Oryzias latipes: one gene and its partner. The protein of the gene in region 2 binds, or shares a complex with, the protein of the main gene of each other region. Links are inferred from orthologs where the notes say so. Each region holds a gene or a part of one and is shown on either strand. Other genes may lie near its edges.

Evidence for each region.
Region 1: the proteins of atp2b1 (region 2) and neuroplastin are in contact, whole or in part, in a cryo-EM structure (PDB 6A69), measured with the Homo sapiens proteins. The link is inferred for Oryzias latipes from reciprocal best matches to the Homo sapiens genes ATP2B1 and NPTN. Residues at the interface, in NP_001353449.1 of Homo sapiens: Phe954, Asp955, Ile956, Asp957, Glu996, Arg997, Asn998, Val999, Glu1039, Gln1040, Leu1042, Trp1043, Ile1045, Phe1046, Met1049, Gly1050, Leu1052, Leu1053, Gln1056; in NP_036560.1 of Homo sapiens: Arg245, Ser246, Asn248, Arg332, Arg334, Pro339, Pro342, Phe343, Gly345, Ile346, Glu349, Ile350, Ile352, Leu353, Ile356, Ile357, Tyr360.

Annotation. Positions count from the first base shown.
Region 1 is NC_019861.2:28,362,382-28,374,707, forward strand, and holds the start of neuroplastin, read left to right. Parts: upstream 1-6,751; 5' UTR 6,752-7,295; coding exon 7,296-7,371; intron 7,372-12,326. Other genes in the region: calcium homeostasis modulator protein 6, read right to left, coding at 4,972-5,124, 5,201-5,665. UniProt on the Homo sapiens protein: Probable homophilic and heterophilic cell adhesion molecule involved in long term potentiation at hippocampal excitatory synapses through activation of p38MAPK. May also regulate neurite outgrowth by activating the FGFR1 signaling pathway.
Region 2 is NC_019881.2:15,511,775-15,524,293, forward strand, and holds the start of atp2b1 (plasma membrane calcium-transporting ATPase 1), read right to left. Parts: upstream 7,859-12,519; 5' UTR 7,727-7,858; intron 1-7,726. UniProt on the Homo sapiens protein: Catalyzes the hydrolysis of ATP coupled with the transport of calcium from the cytoplasm to the extracellular space thereby maintaining intracellular calcium homeostasis.

The DNA of each region.
Region 1 (12,326 bases), on a different chromosome or scaffold from region 2:
TTGCTTATGATAAAAAAAATCTTCAGGGTTGTTATGGTTTTAGTTTCTTTGCATTTATGTTTTGTTTCTCTTTTTGTTCTGTCATGTTTTAAGTTCATTTTCTGTTTAGTTTTTGAAAGGTTCCTGTGTTGTCGTGTTTTCCTTTTGTTCTCCATCTGCCCTCAATATTTCCACCTGTCTCGTCTGTTCTGTATGTATTTAAGTCCTGTCTTTCCCTTCCTCCTGTGCTGATCCATAGTTGGCTGTTAGTTTTGCTGTCCACCAGTTCTTGCATTATTACAGTTTCAAGTTTGCCTGCCTGCTGCAGTGGAGTTTTGTTTAGCTTTTGGACTAGTTATTAAAGACCTGTGTTGTAACCTTCTGTCTCCACCTCTCTGCGCCTGGGTGCTGTGGAAATTATAATCAAATATGTATAGTGGGAATCATAATCAGACATGTATTACTGTTTTATAAATGTGTTGTAAACTTAAGCCTGACGAAGAATGTGTCTCTATTGTGAAAGGTGAAAGAACGCTCAGCAGCAGCTCAAAAGGGAAGTGAAAGATGTGATTAAGAGCACCCCCCACGTTTACCGTTATGCTTTGTCAGCACCTCCTTATTTGGTAGAGACAAATGTAAGAAGCTGAATGAGTAGGAAGTGAATCATGAATTGTGAAACAGGATTCAAGTGTTCAATAAAAAGAGACCCTGCAGAAGGGAGAACCCAGAATTGACACAGACTGTGAGGAGAGGTTGTGAACAGCTGTGTTGAATTCTCCCTCTGCAGAGGCGAACCAAAGTTTCAGAGTGTGAAGTGTCATTATTAGAACCTCCAACTACAGGATCCTTTTGACTCCGAATTAAAGAACCTGGGGAAGTCAATTTGGACTTCAACAGTGCTTACCTCATTCCCTGCCGTAACAAGGGTGTTTATGTTCCCTGCTTCAGAAGCTGAGCTGACGACGTGAGGGCAAGTTTGATCCTGCAGTAGCACCGGGAGCAGAAACTCAGACATAGTTTTGAAAGGGAATCATCTGACCGTTTTTTTTCTGCCTCCAGCAGTTTGAAAAGAAGTTTGTTTTTTGCTCATTTTGGTTGTTTGGGTTTAATTTTAGCGGGGTGTATCACGTGATGTTTGGTGTCCCGACTTTGACGTGCGTTAAGTGTGACGGATGTAACAGAGAGAATCCGGTCACTTTTCAAAATAAAACGTTTTTTTCGAGAAAAAAAAAACAATAAAATGGAAATATTTTTTTCTTTCTGTGCGTCCCGGTGCCAAAATTTTCCCGGTATCGGTCCGCGGCCCGGTGGTTGGGGACCACTGCTACAAGCTGCCCTGGTCCTCCTACCACTCTGTGGATGTCATAGTGTTTCTGCTAGCAGCTGCTGTGCTTATTTTTTTCTTAGTCGCCAGGATTGAGTCTTTTAAAAGAAAAAAAAAAGATGAGTGATCAGAAGAGCTTAATACTGAGCTTTTTTTTCCCTTTATAACCACTGGCACCCGGCGGGCTCCGTAGCTTTACAAAAAAATTGACTATTTTTTAATATTATAGCAGTTTTTGTGTTTAAAAATAATCTGAGCCTGTCACGTTCTAACCTCTTAGTCTAACTCGGCTCTCTCAGTTTTCTAGTCTTTATCATCTTTCAATGTGTTGTTCAAATTGAAATATTTAAAACAAATACATTTTTTATTTATGCTGAGAATTTTTCATCTACAAAGTGGTTTATCTACATTCTACTCCATAATTTAAATTTTAATTCATTCTTTTCAATTTGCATAGTTTTTTTAAGCTATTATTATTATTATTTACATTGTTTTGTAATTTAATCGTACTTGGGACTTGTAAATAACTTTGTGTTGTAAATGTTTACATGAAAGGTTAATTTATTGACTGATTTTTAACATTGTGGCACATATTATGCAGTTTAATAACTTTAAATTGTTCAATCTGAATAAACAAAAACATTATTTTCCCTCTCATGCTTTAACTTTGTTGTGGAACAGGCATTTTTAGATGCTTTCATTTATGTTTCGACGCATCGTTTTCAGAAAAGTCCCGCTCAAAATGAAGTAGAGAATTCATTCGATTTTTTAAACAGCTAGTGAAGGAAAAAGACCTGTCCGCTTTTGCAGGTTTTCTTCAGCGTGTTCAAAAACATGGTAGGAAGAAATGACCATTAGTCGGGGTTAAGATTCACCAAGTTTATTCCCCGATACAATATTTCTAAGACAGAGAGCGAAGACACAGAACTATAGCGAAGGAGAAAAGCCCCAAAGAGAAGAAGAACGAGCACTTCCTAAAAGTCAGAATCTTATAGTGGAGTTTGTGCGCTGCTGAGTTCTTTATGGTGTTCTTCTTCCTCTGTGCAGCAGCCAATCTTCTACCTGCAACTTGACAATGTCCTTTTTTTGGTGCGTCAGCCGTTCAAATGTGGGTTCCTTTTTTCAGAGAAAGAGGCCTTTACCTTTTGCTGGCTCCAACTGCTTCGAGTCTGCAACGTTTCATTTTTACTCGGTATAGCGAGGCACACTTCTTGCTGAGTGTGTGGGTGCCTGAAGTGTTAAAACCGTGTCTTTTTGTTGACTTCTGCTCGACCTACATCTGCTTTTCTGCCTGTAGCGGAGGCCTCATTTCCTGTCGTTCTAGACAGGCTCGGCTGTGGCTTCCTGTTATTGCTCAGCGCTCAGTGCAGGCTGCATTCTGCAGCACCGAGGTAAAAAGGTCAAACTTAAGGTCAATATTAAGACTGCATGTGAAAGTAAACATTAATACGTCAAATGCAATAAAAGATTAAAACAGTAAGCATACATTTCTTCATTAGTCTCCATTTAAAATGTGGCACACCGTAAGGAACGCGTTATCTTGTCCTAAAAAGGCTTTTGGGGATTTGAACACATCCAATGTCACACAGAAAGAATAGACCAACAAGCCAGGTGTTATAATGGGCTCTAAAGCTGAAATCATTTTGTTCTGTGGGCTGTAATGTTTGTTTCTTGTGTGATTTTTGCGTTGTTGTTTGGACAGCTCAATATTTCCTCAATGTGACACACAACTGCATTTACTTCCACTTTTATTTTAGTCCAGAAATCTGAACTGATTGTTTGATCAATTAAAAAGTTTCTCTTTGAGTCCTGTGATTTTTTTTTCCAGCAGGGATACAGACTGATTTGAACAGCATGAAATTAATTAAGTAATTTTACACGCAAAAAGCATCCTGTTCTCCAAGATTAAAAGCAGAAGCTCATTTCAGAAACTGGGAAAAATTTTACAACCCTCCCCAAAAATAAAAAACCCACACAAAATGGCTTTTTGAGCAGAAACAATAAACCACAAAGGCCCTTAAAAATTAATATACAGGGGTGTAGCGATTCATTTTTACAATTCGATTCCTATCATAATTTGAAGTTGTCTCTATGATTCATATCGATATTGGTTTTATGTGAGCAATCAGATTCGCTGACCTAAAACGGATCCACAACGTCCTCAGCCAAGAATTCAACCGGCGTCACTCAGAATACCTGGGTGCTGAAAAGTGCAGGTGAATTTTTCCAGATTCCTTGTGTTTCTTGCAAGACAATCTAGTGTCAATTAAATTTGTGTACAAACAAATAAATTAACGAGAATGAATATCAAATCCATTCACCTTTTAGTGTCCTGAAAGTTCAGCCCACTGTTCTTTTTCCACATCAAAATAATACTAACAGAACATTATTAGAACATTCTACCACACTGTCTGTTCACATGTCTTTGAAGAATTCCAACTTTCCACACTGGAATGATGGACAGGTTTTACTGCCATTACATGGTAAAATAAAACTACTGTGCCTCCTTCCAAATAATAGTTTCCAATATTGATTAAAATCAATTCATTTCATTTTGTAACAATTTTTTATAGGTCGATTTGACCTACTTGCCTCAGACAGATGGATCTGGTTGGATTATAGGAATATAAATCAATTCACCCATTCAGTCGATACATTGTTACACCCTAAAATCAAGGAGTTAAAAGGGCATACATAACCTATATAACATCTGAGAGGAATGTGGATAAGTGTGATGAAGATGAGATCCTTATAGTAACATCAAAACCAAACCCTAAGAAGAACCATAAAAGAATAGAATAGAATAATAGACAATTGTCAGAGTTTTGCTCAAATAAATAATTTGTTTTATTAGAAAACAATGATTAAAAAATGATTAGTTTAAAAACAATCAGGTTTAAACCTACAGTAGTATATACTTTTTAAAGTTGTTTTCAGATATGAAACATGTCATGTTCTCAGTCCTGCACACATACATCAGATCACTGCTTTAGTTAAAGTACCAGCAGAAAAGGTGAGACACTGCACCATGCAGAAGCTTCATTCTGTGTGCATTTTTCTTTTTTTTTCGGTGAAAACACATCAAACAAAACGCTTTCATCTCAACCATAAACAATATTACTTAACTAATAATAAAGCAATAATAGTAAAATTCATATAGATTTCACAAAAGCACAAATCAAATTAAAACATAAAACAAATTTAAAGTAAAGAAAAATATTCCAAAAAGGAGTCACAGTTTGAAATGTAAATGTGGATGTAAGGTAATAATAAGCTATACCCTCCTTTAAGACTAGCACAATATAAACAGGATTATACACTATTTTCTCGTTTAAAAAAAAAAAAAAAAAAGAACGTTTTAATTTGAAGAGTTCCCCCCATTTTTAACACTGTTTAACAACAAGTGGCTGTAAGCATAATGATATGTAAAACCACACCTTTATACATATAAGTCACAGGATAACCACCAGACATCTGCAGGGTCTGGAGACCAAACAGACAGGTAACCTGCTCAAATTCTCAAGAATAAAAACAACACTTTGCATGGCATTATATGAAAAGAAACACACACACACACACACACACACACATGCAAAATCCAGTCCATTTGTGGTAGCTAGAAGGCTCCAGGGACAGAAGGGCAGGTGTAGTGGGTGGCGTCAGTCCTCTCATGATGTTCTGTTCTGTAGAGAGCTCATTCTGATCCCAGTGAGGTTGGCTACTTCTGCATCCTGCATCTCCACCTGTTGCTGGCAGCTCTCTCTGATGAGGTACACTAGAAGACCCACGCAGATGCAAATGAGGAGGACTATGCCTATAACCTGGATGCAAAGACAGCGGAGGTTTAATGTTTGAACAAAGGACGATCACGACATCACCACAACAGGAGCAACTCACCTGAGAAAAGACAAACAGCTGCTGGGAGCGGACCATGAGCTCCTGAGCGGTGACATCCCCCTCTTTAACTGGCTCGCACCACTTCTGTGGAGCTGCCTTGTCAACAAGCACATATCTGCCCTCCCAGTCTGTCATAGCACACGCAAAGTATTGACCGTCCAGGAACAGCAGGATGAGCCACACGACTGCCGGAACAAAGCTGGAGAGGGAAATGGTCTTTCTGCACCAGACAGCACACCTGCATCCCTGAATGATCAGCATCAAGGTGAAGGCCATGACGGCAGGAATGATGAAGAATGCGGATGAAAAAGCTCCGTTCCACGCAGGTCTGCAAGGACACTCAAACTCCAGCTCCACCAGCTTCTCTAGTCCCATGAGGATGAAGCCAAAAGCCACATTTGACACCAGAGGACTGTTGCTAAGTTCATTTTTCAGCCTGGCAAGCCATTGTTGTCTACTTTCCATACTAGATTGACCAAAGAATGGAGGCAAACACTGTAAAAAACCCAAATGGGGGTCCAGCGTTGTGAACACATTGGCAACAGCTAAGTGATGCGTACTTAACGCATCCAGGGGTAAGTTTTCCCCTCAGGCAAAATGCCACACTTCAACTCTGATTGGGTTCGAACAAAGGAGGGTGTGCCGACTGTGCTGACATTTCTCCAGCTGATTGGCTTGTGTGAGGTTTCAGGTGGGGGTTACATTTCAAATGTGATGTGCTGTGAACAAACTGGAGGGCGGGCTGTAAAGTGGAGGGAACTTTACTCTGCAGCTGAGCAAAGGCGGACACTAACAGCCCAAAGAAAGATTTCATGCGTTTTTATATTCTCCAGAGCTGCAACTTTCTTGTTATTTTAAGGAATTAGACTTTTAAGAGAAACATAAGCTTCTAATTTTTTCAAAAACAATTTTTTATTTAAAAAAGTATTTTGGAAACTGTGTTTTAAACATGAAACAGAAGTCTTCTGTACCTTTTCGTATATTTCTTCAAAGTAAGACTTTGGCAAAAGTGAAAAATGACACATGCTCGGGCTTTACCCAAATGGGCCGCATGAGGGCGCACACGGAGCAGCGCAGATTAAGGGCAGGAGGGGATTATGGGAGGCCATGTTGAACTTTCAAGGGGGGATGTGGCACATGCAGTCTGAGAGCACCCGGGCCACTGATGAGATGACATAATTTATAAATGACCTTAGTGCGCTCAAGAGCATCCGCATCCTGGCAGAGAAAGATGGTAAATTATAAGGAAAGCAAGAAACAGATTAAAAAAATGATGCAGCCTGTAATAATAGGGACAGAACAGGTAGTTTATCGTTGTTTTTCTGTTTTAAAATTACACCACTCCTATTGTGAATTTTTGAAAAGCTGTATAGTTTCATACAGTTTTAATTTTCCATAAATCTGACAGACTAAGGCTGCTCCAAGTGGTAAACTGATACATTTTTAAAATTACAATACCAATTGATGTAATTTCTTGCTAAAATACACACAGACACATATCAAGGGTCGGACGGAGGCTTTATTCTGGTGAGCTGTTGTGCTCATCCTCATCCTCGGCCATGCGCGCACTGGGCAGGCGCGGCTTGTCGTCGCTCCCGTTGGTGTCCTACCAGCATCTGTTCCTCCTTTGGTATTAAAAATAGACCGCTGCTGATAACAGACTTATGTTTCGGCTACATCACTTGCCGGCGGGAGTCATTTGTGCACTACTTTCATTTTAATCACCGAACCGTGACCGTGGGAGCGTAAATGCGCATCCGTGCGCGCATCTCGGAATCTTTTCAATCCCACCGTGGACAATCCCCTTGACATCCAAAGACCCTTCCTCCGCAATCCGACGAGGCTTCTTCGCCACCTATGGCCGCAAATCGGCTTCCATGAGCCGCCGGCCTCCTCCCGAACTGCTTTCCTTTAAGGTTTTAAAATCGAGGAGGCATTTCTACTGGATTTTTTTGTATTTTCTAAACCATCTGCGCGGACTCATTTGAAAGCTATGCTTGGCACATCTCTCTAGATCTTGTGATCAATAGCCTCCGCGGTATCTCCTCCCACATTCGTCCTGCCGAGGAGCTGCGTCTCCCGCGGAGCTCCAGCGATGCAGCCGAACGCAGTGATGCTGGCGGTGGTCCTTCTGGGGAACTTGATGCTGCCTTTCGCCTCGTCCCAGAACGGTAAGGACGCAGATCTGGCGCAATTGTTACTGTTGCTGAAAGTGGCTTGTAGGAGGAGTAAAAGATTGACAAGGCTTTTTTTTAGGGGAATTTTTGCATCTCAACAGAGATAACCCAAGAGTTAGTATCCCTTTATCACTGAAAAGGGTTGGGTTCATGCTTGAAGAATGATCTGGCAGGTGGACAACAGCCAGGCGTTCTTCTTGGGACAAATCTGGACTTTGTGGGTTTTGTAGTAATACGTGCACATTTTCCCAAAATGAAATAGAAGTATGCCATTATTTTCAGTCAAAATAAAACAAAAAATACCTCTGTTTACTTAGAAAGTCGCTCATTCTTCCATATTTTTTGCAAATTAGGCCATTTGTTACCAAAACAAATCAAGGCTGCACATATGCTGGATGTTAAAGATGTGTGCATTTCCAAAGTTCACCATCAGTTGATCATAATAAAAGTGGATAATTTCAGTTTAAGGAAATGTCAGGGCTGGCTGCTGGCTGTCCTCTGATACAGCATGTCCCGACATGAAATTAGTTTAACCAGCCAGGTCAACAGCCTTTCTAATTTTATGCCTTTTCTGAGAGAATTTCTTGCATTTCGAATTCAAAGTTTTTCTTTACCGTTTTTGACAATGCAATTACTGACTTTTTGTAAAGGAGCTGCCCACACGTCAAAACCCACATGTTAACTAAACAGTGTCACTGAGTTAGTCTAATCCTCTTTCACAGGAAAAAAAAAATTAGGAAAAAAAACTTGGAATCTGACAGCTTAATGCCCACTCTGTCCTTTCTGTGTGGGATAAATGGACTCCCACTATGAACGACTTAATGAGATCTGTGTTTTCATGATAGGTTGAGAAAAATTCAAGTGTAGTGCCTCGTGCGGATTTACGTTTCCAGCTGATATAAATGCCTCCTGCCGATTACAGCACTTTTTTGGTCAAACAAAGTATTCTAACATTGCAGAGACAATCACGATGAAACAATCACTTTCCATTAAATCAGAAAGAAATGCTCCATCTCCAGCTGGTGGAGAGACAAACAAACTAACACTTCACAGCAGTTATATAAACAAGTACTTCTTGTAGCTGTTTGCATCTTTGTTGGTAATTTCTCTATAGTGTGCTTTCACATACTGTTTCTTTGCTGTTTTGAAAAATTTAATGTCAAATTGGCTCTGCATTGGTTATAAAGCTCAAGCAAACACTTCTAGTGGTCCTTGGCCAGGATTAATGTCCTGTCCCTGAGGGCCAGTTCTCACAACAGACACACACACATACTCATAAGCCCATTGTGTGGTCACTGAGAAGCAGTCTGGTGCTACCCAGTCACACAATCTGCAACCATTTCATCAACCATTGTCAGTCTGCTAATGTACGCTTCATTAATTGCAGCTCTGAAACGAGGGGTAACAGTGTTTAGGGCTGAGCTTTCTTCCAATCGCATCCAAAAGCCAGAATAACTGCTGCATCCCATCTTATGCAATGCTCGATTTCCCAGAGATATGGCGGGGATGTGGGGACAAAAATAATTATAAGTGCATGAGATTTAATCACTGTCTCCGAAGCCGAGGGAATCTGTGTCATCCCTTCCTCTTGTTCCGGAAAAGTAGGGACACCATAGGTGGCCAGTTGAGCAAGAGATATTTGGAGGACTGTGAATTGCATCCGTTCCATTCTGCAGGGTTTCTATTTTTACCACAGAGATGGAGAAGTGAGAACTGTGGCTTTAAGGTCCTTTTGTGAAAGTGAATCCATTAACTCTTAATAGCCGGCCTCCTTGTGCACAGCTGTGCAGCCCCCCAAGAATCACTGGGTGGTTGTAAACTGTTCAAATTGAGACATAATGTGATGTTAAAAGAAAATAAAGCTTGTTGAGGAGATGGTCAGAGCTGACCTGGACCATTACCTTTGGGACTCACATTACTTCCTCCTGTTAAGCATGTTGCCTTCTGTTTGTTTTTTTTGTCCCTCTCTGCATATATAAGCATGCGTTAAAAAAGTAAATGTGCGATTTTTTATCGCCACAAGCCCCATATCCAGCTATATTTTTATCAAACATGTTTACAGCAAGGTCAACATGAATATATTTGGAGTAAGGCCGATACTCGATTTGACTGCTGTCACAAACAAAACAAACTAAAACAGCTAAAAACTGCAGGTTTGACTGTGTTAACTCATCTCAGTGACCAAGTTAAAGTCCCATTCCGATCATCTTTTGATCAATTTTCAAAGCATTCCCAGTGGACTTTTAATTATAGAGCAGAATACCTGTGTTGTTTTCTTGGACATAGTTTCTGCAGAGCGGCAGAGGTTCATTTGAGATTCGGCTCTGAGTTGTGGGTGGGACCCTTGTTGTGGAGTAAGTCTGGTCCATATCCTATAATCCATCTGTTTACACACTCTCCCATTAGCTTACAGCCCTTCACAACCTCAACCTATCATCAGCTTTGTACTAAAATGGCAAGCAATTTTGGAGCTATCCAGCTGTACAGTTTGGAGCCAGATGCCAGCTCAGAAGAGGAAAACAAAGATGTGCATGGATCTATTTATCTTCAGTGCATTGGCATGGAGCGGAGCAGGGAGCTAGTGGCTTGGTGTTGTAGGCTTCTGCAACACACCTTCAAGCCTTTTCAAACAGTATTTTTTTGTCTGCTCCTGATTCACAATGATTTGAATAAAGAAATATTTAGGAAAGCAATTTTAGACTTGCTCCATCAAAAGAAAATGCCACAAGAAAATGTTAAAAAAAATACCATTTTCGTTGGAGTGGGTCTTTAATGTAAAGACCAAAGAAGAAGTCTCTGTAATTTAATTAATCTTTGTCAGAATCATACATCAGAAAATGTTTAGGTTGTAAAAAAGATCTGCAGAATGAATTAACCTAAATTGAATTAATTACCATTACAGTTTATTTTTTTATTATTTTAATTGAACAGCTTCTTGAAAGTTAATTTTAACAGAACTTAAAACTGGTTCAGTGTGAACATAGACAGAAACCAATATCACAGTGTAAAAAAACAACTCTTTGCTGCCATGTCTAAACCAGTCCCCAAGCCTGGTACAGCAGAACGGCCATTATCATGTTTCAGGCAGGCTCGGACAAAGGTTCATTTGCGAGTCTGGAAAATAAACGTCAGAACTTGAGCCAAACTCTTACACTGAGTCATGCTTGCCCACTGTGAAATCTAATATGGCCTTCTCTGATTAGAAGCAGGATGGAAATCACTGCAGAGATATTTCATACTGATGCAGAAAGAAGGTCTAAACATTGATCGATTTTAATAGAGATTATATTATTTTTTTGGAAGGGAGGGGCTGTTTTTATACGTTTTTTCAGGGTACAACTTTTTAACAGATGACTTTAAATACGTACTATTTCCTTTGCATTTTTAATAGATTGAATGAATTATTGAATTTTGGCCCTTAAAGAATATAGTTACAAAATTTTGTATTTTCCTCTAAAATGATAAAGTTAAATTTAGCATAATGTTAAGGAATAATCGTTATCGCTTCTTCGTTGTGTGATAAATCACACTTTTTAATTTTTCTGTTGTTTCTATAGACTTCTCAGGTAAGAAACATTTCTCAGGCCTCAGCTTCATCTGAAGAACCACACACTGACCTAGAAAAGAGTAATAGAAAGTGTTTGCTGGTGTGATTAAAAGATGGGATTAGACAATTTCTAGCCCACACAGGGGTTATTGGGATTTAAATCTAATTTGCTCTACTCATCTGAGGAACAGGCAAAAATATTACCAGCAAAATAAAGCTGGTGACTTTAATGCCCCTCTCCTCTTAAAAACGGACCTTTTTATACTGTCTTATGCAGTGACATGTTTTGGATTTACCTAAGCCTTGATTAAAAGCAGGAAAAACCTAACTATAGACATGTTAAGGATTTGTGGATGTACGAATTAGTCATTGCAAAACTAATCATTGATTTTTCTAGATCAGGAGTTTGAATAAATTAGATATTTTTCTATTTTTGCTTCAATGAAATTCTGAAAAGACAAACCTAAGCTCTGGTAAAACCATGAGAAAAAATGTTTATCTTGAATTTTTGGGTAAAGAATTACGAGATCTCCATACTCATCAGAAAAAGAAAAACCTTGAGACTCAGAAAAGTCTGTACTTGAATTGTAAATGTCACCACAGCAGATGCAAGGCAGCAACAACAGTTGTCTTCCTCAATAGTATTAATGTGCAAAGAGAAAATAAACTATGGGCAACTATAGGAATGGGATTAAATACATTTTTTTCGTCCGACTGCCTTTCAAGCAACAATCAAACTCCACTTGACATATGATGAAATTTAGAGAATCGTATGTAGCGTTTATGCATTACTGCAAAAATGTCTATTCATGGTAAAGAAGACTGTCATCTTCTTCCATCTTTGTTAATTTTTCTTTATTTTCTTTAATTAAATGTATTACATAATATCCGAAAATAGTTTAAAATAATCCATGTTTTGTATTTTTTTATTGTGTGATTCTGTTATTTTCAATGCTTAAAGTTAACCTATAAATCGAATCAAATCAAATTATGTATGTCAACAGGAGTGCTGTTTAAACTCAACACGTGCCAACCAAGTGAAATGAAAGTAGCAAAGATAACAATTACTACATTACTGGAAAGGTACAACATAGTGGCTGCAATTAGACGGCTGGAGAAACTGATTAACATCCCCCTTTCAACATCAACTACTGTTTAAAGAGCTTTTATTGTTAACCCTTGTGCTATCCTAGGCACTTTAACATTGGGAGTTGGGTCATCTAGACCCACTAGACAGTGCTCTGAACCCTTTTTCTTCAATGATTTGTGATCTTCACTGGTGTCCATGGATTACATGAAATCTTTCCACCTTTATCCACCTTAGTCATGGTAGGAAGAACACGTCAATGTAAGGGTGGGGTCATCTAAGATAGCACAAGGGTTAGAATGAACATCCTGCAGC
Region 2 (12,519 bases):
ACTCCAATGAACATTGTGTTTTTGGGTTTTTTTAACATGTTCTTGTAGCATTTTTCTCATGATGGGGGATATAGAAGAATTTAAGATTAAAACTGCTTAAATACTTTCTTTATTTAAATTTGGATGAATCAGGAGCAGATAAAAAAAGCCATTTGTAAAGCTTTCTTTTGTAACGCAGCTGAGCAAGTGAAATAGGCAGGTAGAGGTCTCCCTGCTCCGCTCCATTCTAATGCAGACAAATGGATCCATGTACGTCTCCGTTTTCCTCCGAGCTGGCATTTGGCTCAGAACTGCATGGCTTGATGGCTACCATAATTCTCACCATTTTTGTGGCACAACTTATGTTAGCTTGGAGTTTTAGGGGCTGTAAAATAGCAGGGGAGAGTGTAAACAACTGAATGATAGGATATCAACGGAAGCTTACTTCCGCAGCAGCTGTCCCCCCATGACAGATCACTGGGAACACTTTTATAAAATATAAATAAAAATGATTAGAGTGGGACTTTAAATGTTACAATTTACCAATTAAAATATAAATATACTCACAAATAATAATAATAATACACACTAAACAGAATAATATGAAATGTATGACTTTGTGTTGAATTTGCCCATAAATGGGCACGTCATGTGGTTAATATGCTAAATAAATAAAAAATGACTGTAGACAAGTTTCTTATATCATAAGAGAAAGTTACAAACTCATTCATTTTAAGTTCTTAAATGAAAACTGTCCCAAAACATGCTTAGAAAGGAAATTTGAAAATTTAAATCATAATTTGTGTTAAAAACATAAATAGAATCAATTCAGTTTTCTGGATGTAATAAGCCCTTGTGAACAAACCCTGACAAATTCACGTCTGCATCATCTTTTCGGTGTTCTCTCCATCCATTTCTAATCTTTGCATCCTCCTCACTCTCACCAACTGCACGTATGTCCTCCTTCACTACATCCATTAACTCCTCTTTGGTCTTTCTCTAGGCCTCCTTCCTGGAAGCTAGCTAACTGATCTTAGAGATGTGACCACGAGGTGACAAAGCTATACTGACCTAACAAAGCATTGCAACACTACACATATATATACACAACTATCATAACTATACAATACAGTTCATTTTAGTAAAGTTTAATCAACACTTGAGTATCTCCAAGTGCCTAACCATGGACTATAACGATGTTAGTAATGACACTGCAGAGAAAGTGGTTATTGCCTATTAATTTGGCAAGAATTATGAGCCCATTTCCAAACAGTATTGTCTGTAATCCTCCAGAGATAAACTTTAACGAAGCTGCCAATCTACTCGAAAGAAATTAACTGTGCATAACTGCAACTGGGTAAAAAAAGCATTTAAAAATTTAAAAACTTCATCAGAACACCTCTCAGTCTTATCTTTAACGATGGTTAAACATACACATAGCATTTTTTTTTTGGCACTCTTAGTTACAAACAGAGAAACCCACAATAGTTACAGAAAGTAATCCATAAGAATGTAGTTTCATATTAGATTTTCCAATACTGAATTTGTAATCATTTCAAACCTGTGATTGCACCTTGCAAAAAAGGCCTGTTTATAAAGCATTGACAAGTAATTTTGGAAATTAGAGAAACTTTTTGATATGCGTTAAAGTTAAAGTCCCATTACTTATCTCGCACTTAGGTGCATTTAACTCCTCTCCCTGGGGGAGCGGTGAGCAGCAGACGGAGCCGCGCTCTGAAACCATTTGGGGGTTTATCCTCCCAATCCAACCCCTTTATGCTGAGTGTCACACAGGGAGGTACTGGCTCCCATTTTTCAGAGTGTTTGGTATGACTCAGTCTGAATATGAACTCACGACCTTCCAGCCTCACAGCTGGACACTACTACAAGGTCATTGAACTGGTCTGTGGCACGTTCATCTCATAAACTGCAGCATTAAAGGTGATGATCCACACTAGCAAATGAACTAAAGCATGAGACTAAATGTCATTCAAGTGGGATTAAATTTACTGCATTTTGCATTCTTAAAAGGCCATTCAGTTTTGCCTAGTTATGATTCAGTAATGTAATTAATTAAATAGTGAAATAACCCGTTTTTTTTACACTTATTTTGAATTGGTGCTGTACCTAAACAATGGTATAAAGACCCACTCAGATGAAAATATTGTTTTTGGTGTTTTTAACATGTTCTTGTGGCATTTCTCTGATGATGGAGGAAATATATAAAGAAATGTAAGCGTAAATTTGCAATTATGAGTATTTCCATATATGAATCATGGTGAATTGGGACTAGACAAAAAATGCAATTGAAAAAAAGTTTGTAGCTGTGATGTAGGTGCTATACTCAGTGGGCCACAGTCTTCCTGCTCTGCTCCATTCTGATGCACCCACTTGAGGACGACTAGATCCATTTATGTCTTTGTTTTCAATGTCTGAGCTGGCATTTGGCTCAAAACTGTACAGCTAGATAGCTCATATATTGCTCACCCTTTTTGTTGCACTGGTAATGATAGGTTGGGGTTGTGAGGGGCTGTTAGCTAGGGGGAGAGCATGTAAACAGAGGGATGATGGGAAAATTTCGCCAATCCAAGAGTTCCGCCCACAAGTTAGACGGACTTTTAATGTATAAGGGCCCGTTCACACCGGGACGAATTTCGCCGGCGATTTTCGCCGACGTTTAACGCCTCGTGACTAAACAAAGGGCACCAATGAGAGTGTGCACACCGACGCGAAAAAACGCCACGCGTCAAAAAAAAAAAAAAACGCCTCGGGTTTGTTTTTTTTTTTTGACGCCTCGCGTCGAAATCTATTCGACCAATGAGAATGGCGCTTTTGCACACAAGTCTGGAGCTTCTGAAGTTACAGTAAAACACAACTTGGGGGCCCTCAAACACAAAACTGCCTTGCTGAGCACACATACCAGCGAAGAAGATAGACGCCAAGTAGCGTCTACACTGCCGCGAAGAAATAATGACGGGCATTCTAAAATATCCCCGAACCAAGCACCAGTTGGAGCTACTGGTGCTTGAAATATTCATGTTTTCTTTGTTTGATTCTGACAAGCGCGTAAATACTTGCTCTCTTCTTCTGAGTGAAAAGCGACTTTAAGAAGCGTAAAGTTGCGCAGCGCCACCTTGTGTACAGGAGTATTTCTGTTTACATTAAGCGCCATCTAATGTCAGGGAATGAAATTGCATGTTCGCTCGGCTCATCGTCAGCGAAAATCGCCTGGGCGTGAACACAAAAAACGTGGCGAAAAACGCTGGCGAATAACGCCTGGCGAATATTCGTCCCGGTGTGTACGGGCCTTTACTGCTGCTCTCCACAGAAACGATGTCCTAGAAATAACAGGTTTTTTTATTTTGGCTAAAAATTCCATAATCATAAATAATAGACCACTGGGAACTGTGGTCTAAAGATGGTTGGAGTGAGACTTTAAAGGGTTTAAATGTCTTTAACAGCTAATGTGTTTGAAAATATCAGCATATTCAATATTTGCAAAGATCAATGCAAGATATTACAATTCATACATTATTTGTTGTTGTACGTGTTAACTCTATGTTTATCATCTTAAAATCAAAAAAAAAAAAACAGGAGCAAAATGATAACACAAAAATTTAGTTTTCAGAAAGTTCAAGCATTACTAAATAAATTGGTATATGTGAGGTTTGCTGTGGCTGAACATCATCTAGATCAAGTATGCTGTGTTTACTAGACGACTGACACTGGCAAAATGATTACCGCAAGTATTAAAATGTGGTATTGAGTTAAAAAAAATGTCTTTCAATACCTGACAGTATTCCAGCATTTTGGTTGGTGCTTAAAAATGAACAAGCTTGATATCCAGCCTAATTTCTCTGAGTTTCACACGAAAACACTTCTGGCAAGGACTGATAGTCAGTTCAGAGAGATTAACTTGGAATGTAGACACTCAGGGTTGTCAATGTTTGAGTTTCTTGCAGGACAATTTGTGCACAAAATGAATATAGGGTAAAAAAGAAATTTAGCAAATAACATTTCACCCTGCATGCAATAAAAACATTTTCATTCTAAATCATATCACTGCATTCGACAGACATCCTTTTAATGGGAATGTTACTCTTTAATCTGAAGTACAAAGATACAGCTTATGATACTAAATCCAATTCTTTGAGGTCACCTATCTCTAGTTCTTCTGTTAAAAACCTCCCTTAAATACACTCTCTAACCTGCAAGTTGCAACACCTAAAAGAAGAAAAGGAAGTGCCAACATTTGCTGTGCAGTGTCAGTTTAAGGTTGGGGAGGTCACATGTCACAACAGTGGAAAATCATTGTGATTGGATCTCCAAGTCAACAGCTGTTGTGTGATATGGTTGAATGACAGTGGGTATAGTTGACCCTTTCCACACTACACACAAAGACACAGCCTTGTAAACATTTAAACAAATTGAACCCGAGAAACGCAAACTTGCAAGTCCCTTTTTCTAACCAGGCAGCACAAGACTAGAATCTAACGTCTGCCACTCAAGAACACCTCCACCCACAGGATGCGGCATAAAAAGTAACCAGAAAAAAACATGCTTCTGACTTTGTGACAGGTCTAAGGAAACCCTTTGGCAATTTGAACACCTCGGTGTGCCAACAGCTCTATACAAGTTGGAGATAGCAATTCTAGGGTTCCCTCTGCCTAATGCAATAGGTGGTATTTTTAGCTTCCCACAGACTGCCTCCACCCCCTGCAGCCTGCCATAGCTGAACTGGGTCAGACCATGTAAATGTGGAGGGTACAAAGGCATAGACACCCAGCCATCTTTATGGACCACAGCTTACTACTACTACTACCATAAGAGCTACTTTGCTTTGCATGATAACCACTACACTATCCTCACAAACCCTGTCAGACTGCCAGGTCATAAGAACTCAGAGGTGTCAAAAAATCTGAGGCGCATTGTCAACACCTTCATCCTGCCTGCAGTTAGTTTTCTTTTCGTGCAAGGAAAAATATCAACAATAATAAAGCAGACGTACCCTTATATAGGCAGTTAACTAGATATGATTAATCTCTTCTATATTTTTCTATACCAGTTCCATAATAGCTTTGACTTTTAAAGATGTCTAAAGACTGCTGAATATGAAATTAAATACAGGCAAACTTATGAAAGTAAAGTGGGAATAATTATGCACAGAAAAACTAGAGTTTCAAATTGAGTTGCATTAAAAAATAATTGATCCAATAGGAAGGTGAATGAAAAAAAAACATGAATTAAAAAGTCCCTTTAAAAACTGATTAGGCTCACTATCATAAATGATCAATGTTCTTTTTTTCCAAGTTAGGATTTTAAATGATCATATACCCTTACTACTACCATCACAACTGCTTAATTCCACAAAAGGTTATAGGTAACTGAATACTAAACTATATTTTTATTGCAATAACGTTTGAAAAGATTAGAAGAAATGGGGGATCCCCCCACATACACTGAGAAACACAGCAGTACATTACAACTGCTTGGAATACCGGTAACTGTAAAGGAATAACACTTACAGTCACAGAATAAGAGAACAAAAAAAACCTTCTTGAGTACATGAGATCACATCATGGTACAACAACAGATCACATTTAGCTTTTGGTGTTAGTTTACATATGACTTGCTGTTAGCTTAGACCTACTCTGACCACGTTCTCAGAATAAGGCTGCATGCTGTCCCCTTCTTTTAAAAAAAGAACAGACTGGTGGATATAATCTTGACATTGGGGTATTGTTAACAGTTTGAACAGATGCTGAAGAGCAGGGCACTGCAATAAAAAAAAACGTGTCAACTCTCCTCCCATCTCAAGAGCAAGTTCCCCTAACAGCTGCTAGACAAGAGAGAAGTATGTGATGGAAAGTGAACTCCATAGTCCTCCCCCTAACACCCCCCTAAATAACGACTGCTCTGTGACTTCTCAAAACCTTCCTGCAATGACAATCAACAGACAAAATGATGGATTAGCAGAAAACCCATGTAGCCGCGAAAATATAAAAAGGTTAAATAATTTTCACGAGGAATATTAACATCAAACCGTCTGCTAATATTTTTAACATTTAATCTCGCTTTCTTAATTGAGTCAATTATCGAGTTGACTAAAAATAAAGTATTTTGCAGCAGCATATGGATTTAAACGTAATATCAAACAGAATTTGGATTTTTGTTTTTTTAAAGTCTTTGACATCATGTACTCTGCTGCAACTTATCAATAGCCCAAGAAATTGCTTAGCTGTCATTTCATTGAGTCAAACACACGCAACACAGCACACAAAAACGACTTGCACAGCTTGAATCATTGAATTCCCTTTGGGCTTGTGCCCATTTTTTTTTTTTAACCTTGCTTTTAGATTGGTATGTCTTGGAATGACATACAGGAACACGATTTCCTCCACAAACCCCACGAATACAGGGCTGGTGCTGCCGCGACCCGGTGCTTTTAATTGGATCAAGAGTGATCCCTTGGTCTAAACACCGAAAGGTGCTCTCACATCAACATGATAACCGCTTGCGTGCAAAGCTGTGTTACATGGATAGTAATATAACGAAAGAGTGCCGTTTGAACTATTGTCAATGTCTACTACCACCGATAGAAATATATATATAATATACACATCGAAAAAATAGAGGTACTTCTTAAATGGGTTTGCTTGGATTCCAGTTACCGAATGAAATGTAAACGTAGTCGAAAAACAAAAGCGCCGACTAACTGTCTACGAGTAGATAAATAAAGTTAACGGTAAAAATAACGAACAGAAGAGATGACACGGATGGACGGAGAAAAAAGAAACGACTGTCGTGAAGTACGAGTGGGTGGCGTTGTTAGATTCCCCGGCGCAAGAGGGAATAATAAATGTACTTACTTACACAAAAACATGGTTTTGCGTCCGCCGTTAAGTGACTTACAGCTGAAAGGACTTTCGTTAATAATAATGTGCCTTCACGGCGCTCGGCGAGGCGACAGCCGACCGAGGCGTGGAGTCCCGAGAATATCGTTTCCGACCATTTTTAAGCGTCCCCCCCCGCCTCTGACGTCTATCGCTTGCTATTATCTATAATCGTAGAAAATTAGTTTCCGACGGATTTATGCCATGCAGGTAGACGAGCAACATGGAACTCAAAATTTCCTGTAACATACGGGTAACTCATGGAACGATATGGAGGGCAACGCTTAAAAAAATCATTTAGGGCTAAATGTCAATTTACTAACATTAAAAAAATCGTTCTGTAGTAATAGTATTAATGACCACTGTTAGCCGCCTAGCTCGTGTCCCTTAGCTTACGTTGGGTGTAAAGAGTGGGAAATGAAAAGAGAGGAAAATAAGAAAAACGGCGTATTTCAACAGACTGACAAATCAAACAACTCGTTTTACAACAACAGCAGAAGTTGCCATAAGCACCAGAAAACCATAACTGGGAGCATCCTAAAAGATTAGATACGCTGGTTGGAAAATGGAACGCCTAACGTCAGTATCTTAACCCTAGATATCTCAGTAGCTAGCGCTGTGTTAGCTTGGTGTATGGCAGCTAACAAGGCACAATGCAGCACCGGAGAATGGCCCGCATTGATATCTGCACACGAAAATAAAAAGATTTAACCGGTCAGGGCTGTACATGCAATGTCCAAAATACCTGAAGACGCCACATGTCTAGGAGCGATTCGTCACCCGAACCAGTTAAAATAAATATTCATTGAAAAAAAATACACACATTCATCTAATATATAACAAAAATTACTTACTCCACTCCGAAGAGCAACCCAGGTCCCTCTCTCATTAACTCCCCCTCAGTCTCACCGAAGACTAGACTCTCTCCTCTGGTTTGAGGTGAAATCCCGCCTACTGCGCTGTCACAGTCACAACCAAAGTGTCTTGTCTCTAATGTCAAGATGGTTCCCTCCCAATCACGTTTACGCCGGAAACCCTCAGCTTGAAGTCCGGTCAATTTGCAGAGATAGATGGAAGTGAATTTTCATATATATATATATATATGAAACGCGTTACCTACATATAAATTCATAGAATTACTAATAAAAACACATATTTTTGGCGTTTAATAAAATGAAATAATTTAAATTTAAAAGACAGAAAGATTCAGTCTAAAGCGGAAGTACACCGAGATGTATCATCTTGCCACGCCTACTCTCTTTATGTCGCAACACCTACTGGGACATGTGATGAGCGTCGAATAGAGGATGGGTATGAACCGCTGTTGTGGATTCCCATTGGCCCAGCCAGCATATGAGTCGCCTATGGAAACAGCTACGTCACGATCCCCTCGTATTCCCTCTTCTCTCTCGTGTCGCTTTATAATAACAGGATTACTGAACAGTACTCCCCGTCATGGGATGAAAAGAAAGCATCGAAACATCACTGATCTGCTTCTGCGGTCTGGTTGCGTGATCGCCAAAGCACCACAGCACTTCCCTCAGTGTCCAATCAAGCCCGACGTCATTCTTTCCATGACGTTGCGCGTTTTTTCCCCCCTCTCTGGATTCAATGCCTGCATTATTTGCGATTCTTTAGTACTGTTGAGAGGTCGCGGTTTCTGCAGTCACCCTGTCAGGGGGACAGCAGTGCTTCACTGAACGCAGCATTGAGCAACGATCCAACACATATTAGTGTAGCTAAAAGTATTATCTATGCATCTAAAAAAACTAAACTTCTGCAAGAGCCAGGGGAAACAAATCAATTTATTAACATGCATTTCTTTATCCCAAGGTTAATACCAAATATCCAACAGATTAACCAAACTGATAGGAGATCTTTTCTATTATTTTTTTTTAATCCAAAGAATTGGTAGATGATACACAGAAATCAACTGAGGTCAAACTTTGGTGTAATTTCGTCTGCTTTGACATAATGGGATTTATCATTAACAAAATAGACCAAAGTGCACAAAAAAAGAAGTTTATTTGCAGATTTCCAAACGGGGAAAAAAACAAAATAGTTTATATGCAATTAAAATGTAATTTGTAAAATGTCAAATGACGCACCCAGGAGGAAAAGTTGTGAAAAATAAGAAATTAAAATGACTGGAGGAAAAAAAAATTCTATTGGTTTTGCAAGTTTACTTGTGCAACACGTCAGCCACAGAGTTGAGTGTTTAAGTTACATCTAGTAACTCCCAACTCTACAAAAGAAAGATAAGGCATGGTGGTGGACCACAGTTTTCCAGATAATTTGTGAAGTTTTTTTTCGCTTCGCTTTTGACTGCAGACATAAACTCCTCCTATAGCTGTCTTGTAAGAAGGTTAAAACCCACACATTAGTAATTGGTAGACAATTTTGACTTTGTATACACCTTTACCATTTTATGGCAGAACAGCTCCCCAAAACCTCTAAATTGAGCTGTAACAGTTTACATGCTGAAGTTGTCAGTCACTTGTATAACAAGCCTCCATATGCATCAGAACTCAGAAATGAGAGTGCTTTTTTTCTTTCTTTTTTGCTTCACTATCAGTGGTTTTTGGTGTCTTCCTGTGTGGAGCCTGTGGAGCTTAGCCCAGGCCAACAGTGAGCAGATGTCTCTCTAATATAACACTGGTCAGCCTGCCAATTCATGCATCATTTCTCCTCCTGTATCACTTTTTAAGGAGCACAAAAGCCATGCAGAAAATAAAGAATGTACAGAAAAGCAATTCCTGACCAGACATTTTAGAATTTAAATATGGTATCAAATATGAAGTAGTTATTCCACAAAAAACCAACGCATTAATGTAGTAGTTTTACTCCATTTTTGATTTGAATAATTAGACTTTTGAAAAAAAGTTGAGTTAATTAAAGAGTATACTTAACCTATAATGTGTCTTTAAATTATAGAATATCATCACAAAGCTAGCTGAGTAAGAAATGTTTTCCTGTTTACAGCATTATCTTTTATTGACATAACATTGTTAACATTTTATGATCAACTGTATAATATTTAACTGCAATCCAAAAATGAAACAATGCCATTATATTTCAATCCCCAAACCACAAATTGAAGCTTCACATTTTATTGCAAGCTAAAGTTAAATTAAAATACCAAGAATATTTTTAGTGAAAAATGCGTTTCTCTTGTACTAAATCTGATGATTGCCTATTTTTTTAAAAATTAAAAGAACTTACTCTTTTTGCCCCAGTTTAGAGCCTCGTTAGTCTTGAGTTGTGAATGTCAACTGCCAAATAAATGGAACAGAAATAGCTAAGACCAAATGGATCTATCCAGACGGTGAGGGAGTAATGTCTACAAACTAATAACAGCAGAAGAACTTAAATTATTGTAAGTGAGCACTTGAAAAGTCTGAGATCCTTGTTGAGGTTTCAAATCGCTGACACCAGTCATTTTCCCCTTAGCTCGTCGTCTGAATCTTACTGTTGAGTCAGTTTCTCTGTGGAAATCTGCCAGATGCTCTGGAGCGTCTTGTGAACTAAAGTAAATGTCAAGTGTCATTAGCCTTTGTGTATGCTAATGTGTTGTTCACAAAATCTGAGGGAGCAGAAATGGCGAAGCATGACAAACTCCATGGGGAAAAAAAGGGATGCTACCCATAGGGTAACTTATAAAACACATCCTTATTATTAGTTTTAAAAAAGGCTGTAAGCTTTTAAAACCATAATAGAAATGTGTTTTTTTTTGGCACACAAGACACTGATTGTGTGCATGCATGTTATCCCACCATAGAGCTTTAATTGCAGGGGTAGAGAACTACCCAAGACGGCTTGACAAATAATTGCAGGTTCAGTTGAGAAGTTTCTTACAACTGATGGCTTGAGTGTGTCTGCAGTTCTCATAAGAACTTTGTTGCTCCATCTTCTCTCACTTCTTAATAGTGTAAAGAAATTTGGGCAATTGACAAAGAAAATCCAACAGGAACAGAAAAGGAAAAAACAGATCATCAGTTATTTCCTCAACATTTTTAAAAAACAAACATGGCTGTGATGGAAAAGGCTTAGTGCGCTCTTGGGGATCATGTGTCTCTAGAGAAGAGGCAAGTGGAAAAAGTGAGCATAAAGATGCCGCAGTCAGCTGACAACCACATCCCTATCAGTGAGGACGTGTTGTATGACTATATGGCTTCCTTTGGTCATTGGATTTTTTTCTGTCACTACTTTGCTTTCTGAACAGTCATCAAATTTTCCTCTGGCTCAGCACATTTGTAAGCTTTGACGAGGAACGGTGCATGTCGGGGAGGAGGAGGAAAGCTTCCTCCTTTTAAAGAGGAAAAGGAAAAAAACAATGTTGCAGATTTTCAAGAAAGCTGTTTTTACAATAAAAAATAAAAATATCTACCAGTATTTTACCTGGGTCGTTCAATACGATGAGGGCTGTCCTATAACACTGAACTAGTTTCTCAGACAAGGCAATAATTATATATATCAAATCAGACAAAGATTTATATTAAGGATGGGTCTTGAGCATTATAATAAACCCTTTTAATATGGTGTTAGTCTAACCAAAAATTACAGTAATCACACTTTTCCTCCTGTCCAAACACTGGTTTGTGTCTATTGAAGGAGACCCCAATTATACGATTAACATTCAGACCATGCTGACTGGCAAAACAGCCAGAAACAGACACGAATTACACCTATGGTGCAAGTAGAAAATCTATGAAGTGACCTCCGACATCAGTTGCCCAGACAAAGACTCCTTGTATGAATGAAAGCAGAGAGAGTGGTGGAGGGGAAAGGGGAGGTGGCAGCTAGGAGAGCTCTATCATGGTTGAGCCGCTCCCCTTCGGATCTTGTGCATGTTTGTGTTTCCTACTACCCTGGAATTTACTGCATGGCACTGGTAAGGACAGCCTTGGGGAGGTGAATGGCCTGTAGAATAAAGTTGTTGTGAAAGAAGTGCAAAAAAAAATTGAGACAGGAAAGAGTCAGGAGGAGAAAAAAAGCACACACAAGGAGTTAATGTAAAGCAAGTTAACCCCGAGAAAATAAAAATGGTAAAATGAAAGTTGTGTGTGCATAAAGGCAATGGTTAGCCAATGAGACAGTGGTCTGCCCTGAGCTAGAAGCAGGAAGATTATCTGGCTAAGTTTCCACTTGCAAACAATAATTCAACTCAAGTGTCTGTTGAGGCCATACTTTGTAAGAGCAGTGACCCACCCAGTAAAATATGAGGTGTGTGACAGGAACAGTCTGCATATGGTCATAGAATGCCATGATCATAAACTTGTGAGTGAAGACAAGCCATAAAAGGGTGCTGGTGGGCTGTTTTCCATTCTCTATTTTTATAATCAATACCCCCTGTATTTATGTTAGACGTAGCCTGCAGTGAAGTTGTTTGAAAGTGTATTTCGGCCGGTGAACGTTTTACATAACAAACAGTTTGGCACAAAAATAGTCTTGATTCAATTACCAGCAGAGCCCAGAAACCACCTGAGATTCCACATTTAGACAGTACAATGTGCGCAGGAAGCACTGCCATCTAAAATCCAGTGGGAATTTTATAGGAATACACAAAAAAAACAAATAACACAAAAACATTGTATTGCAACACTTGCTATTTATTTCAGGCTCAAAAACAAGTTTCCAGACTTTATGC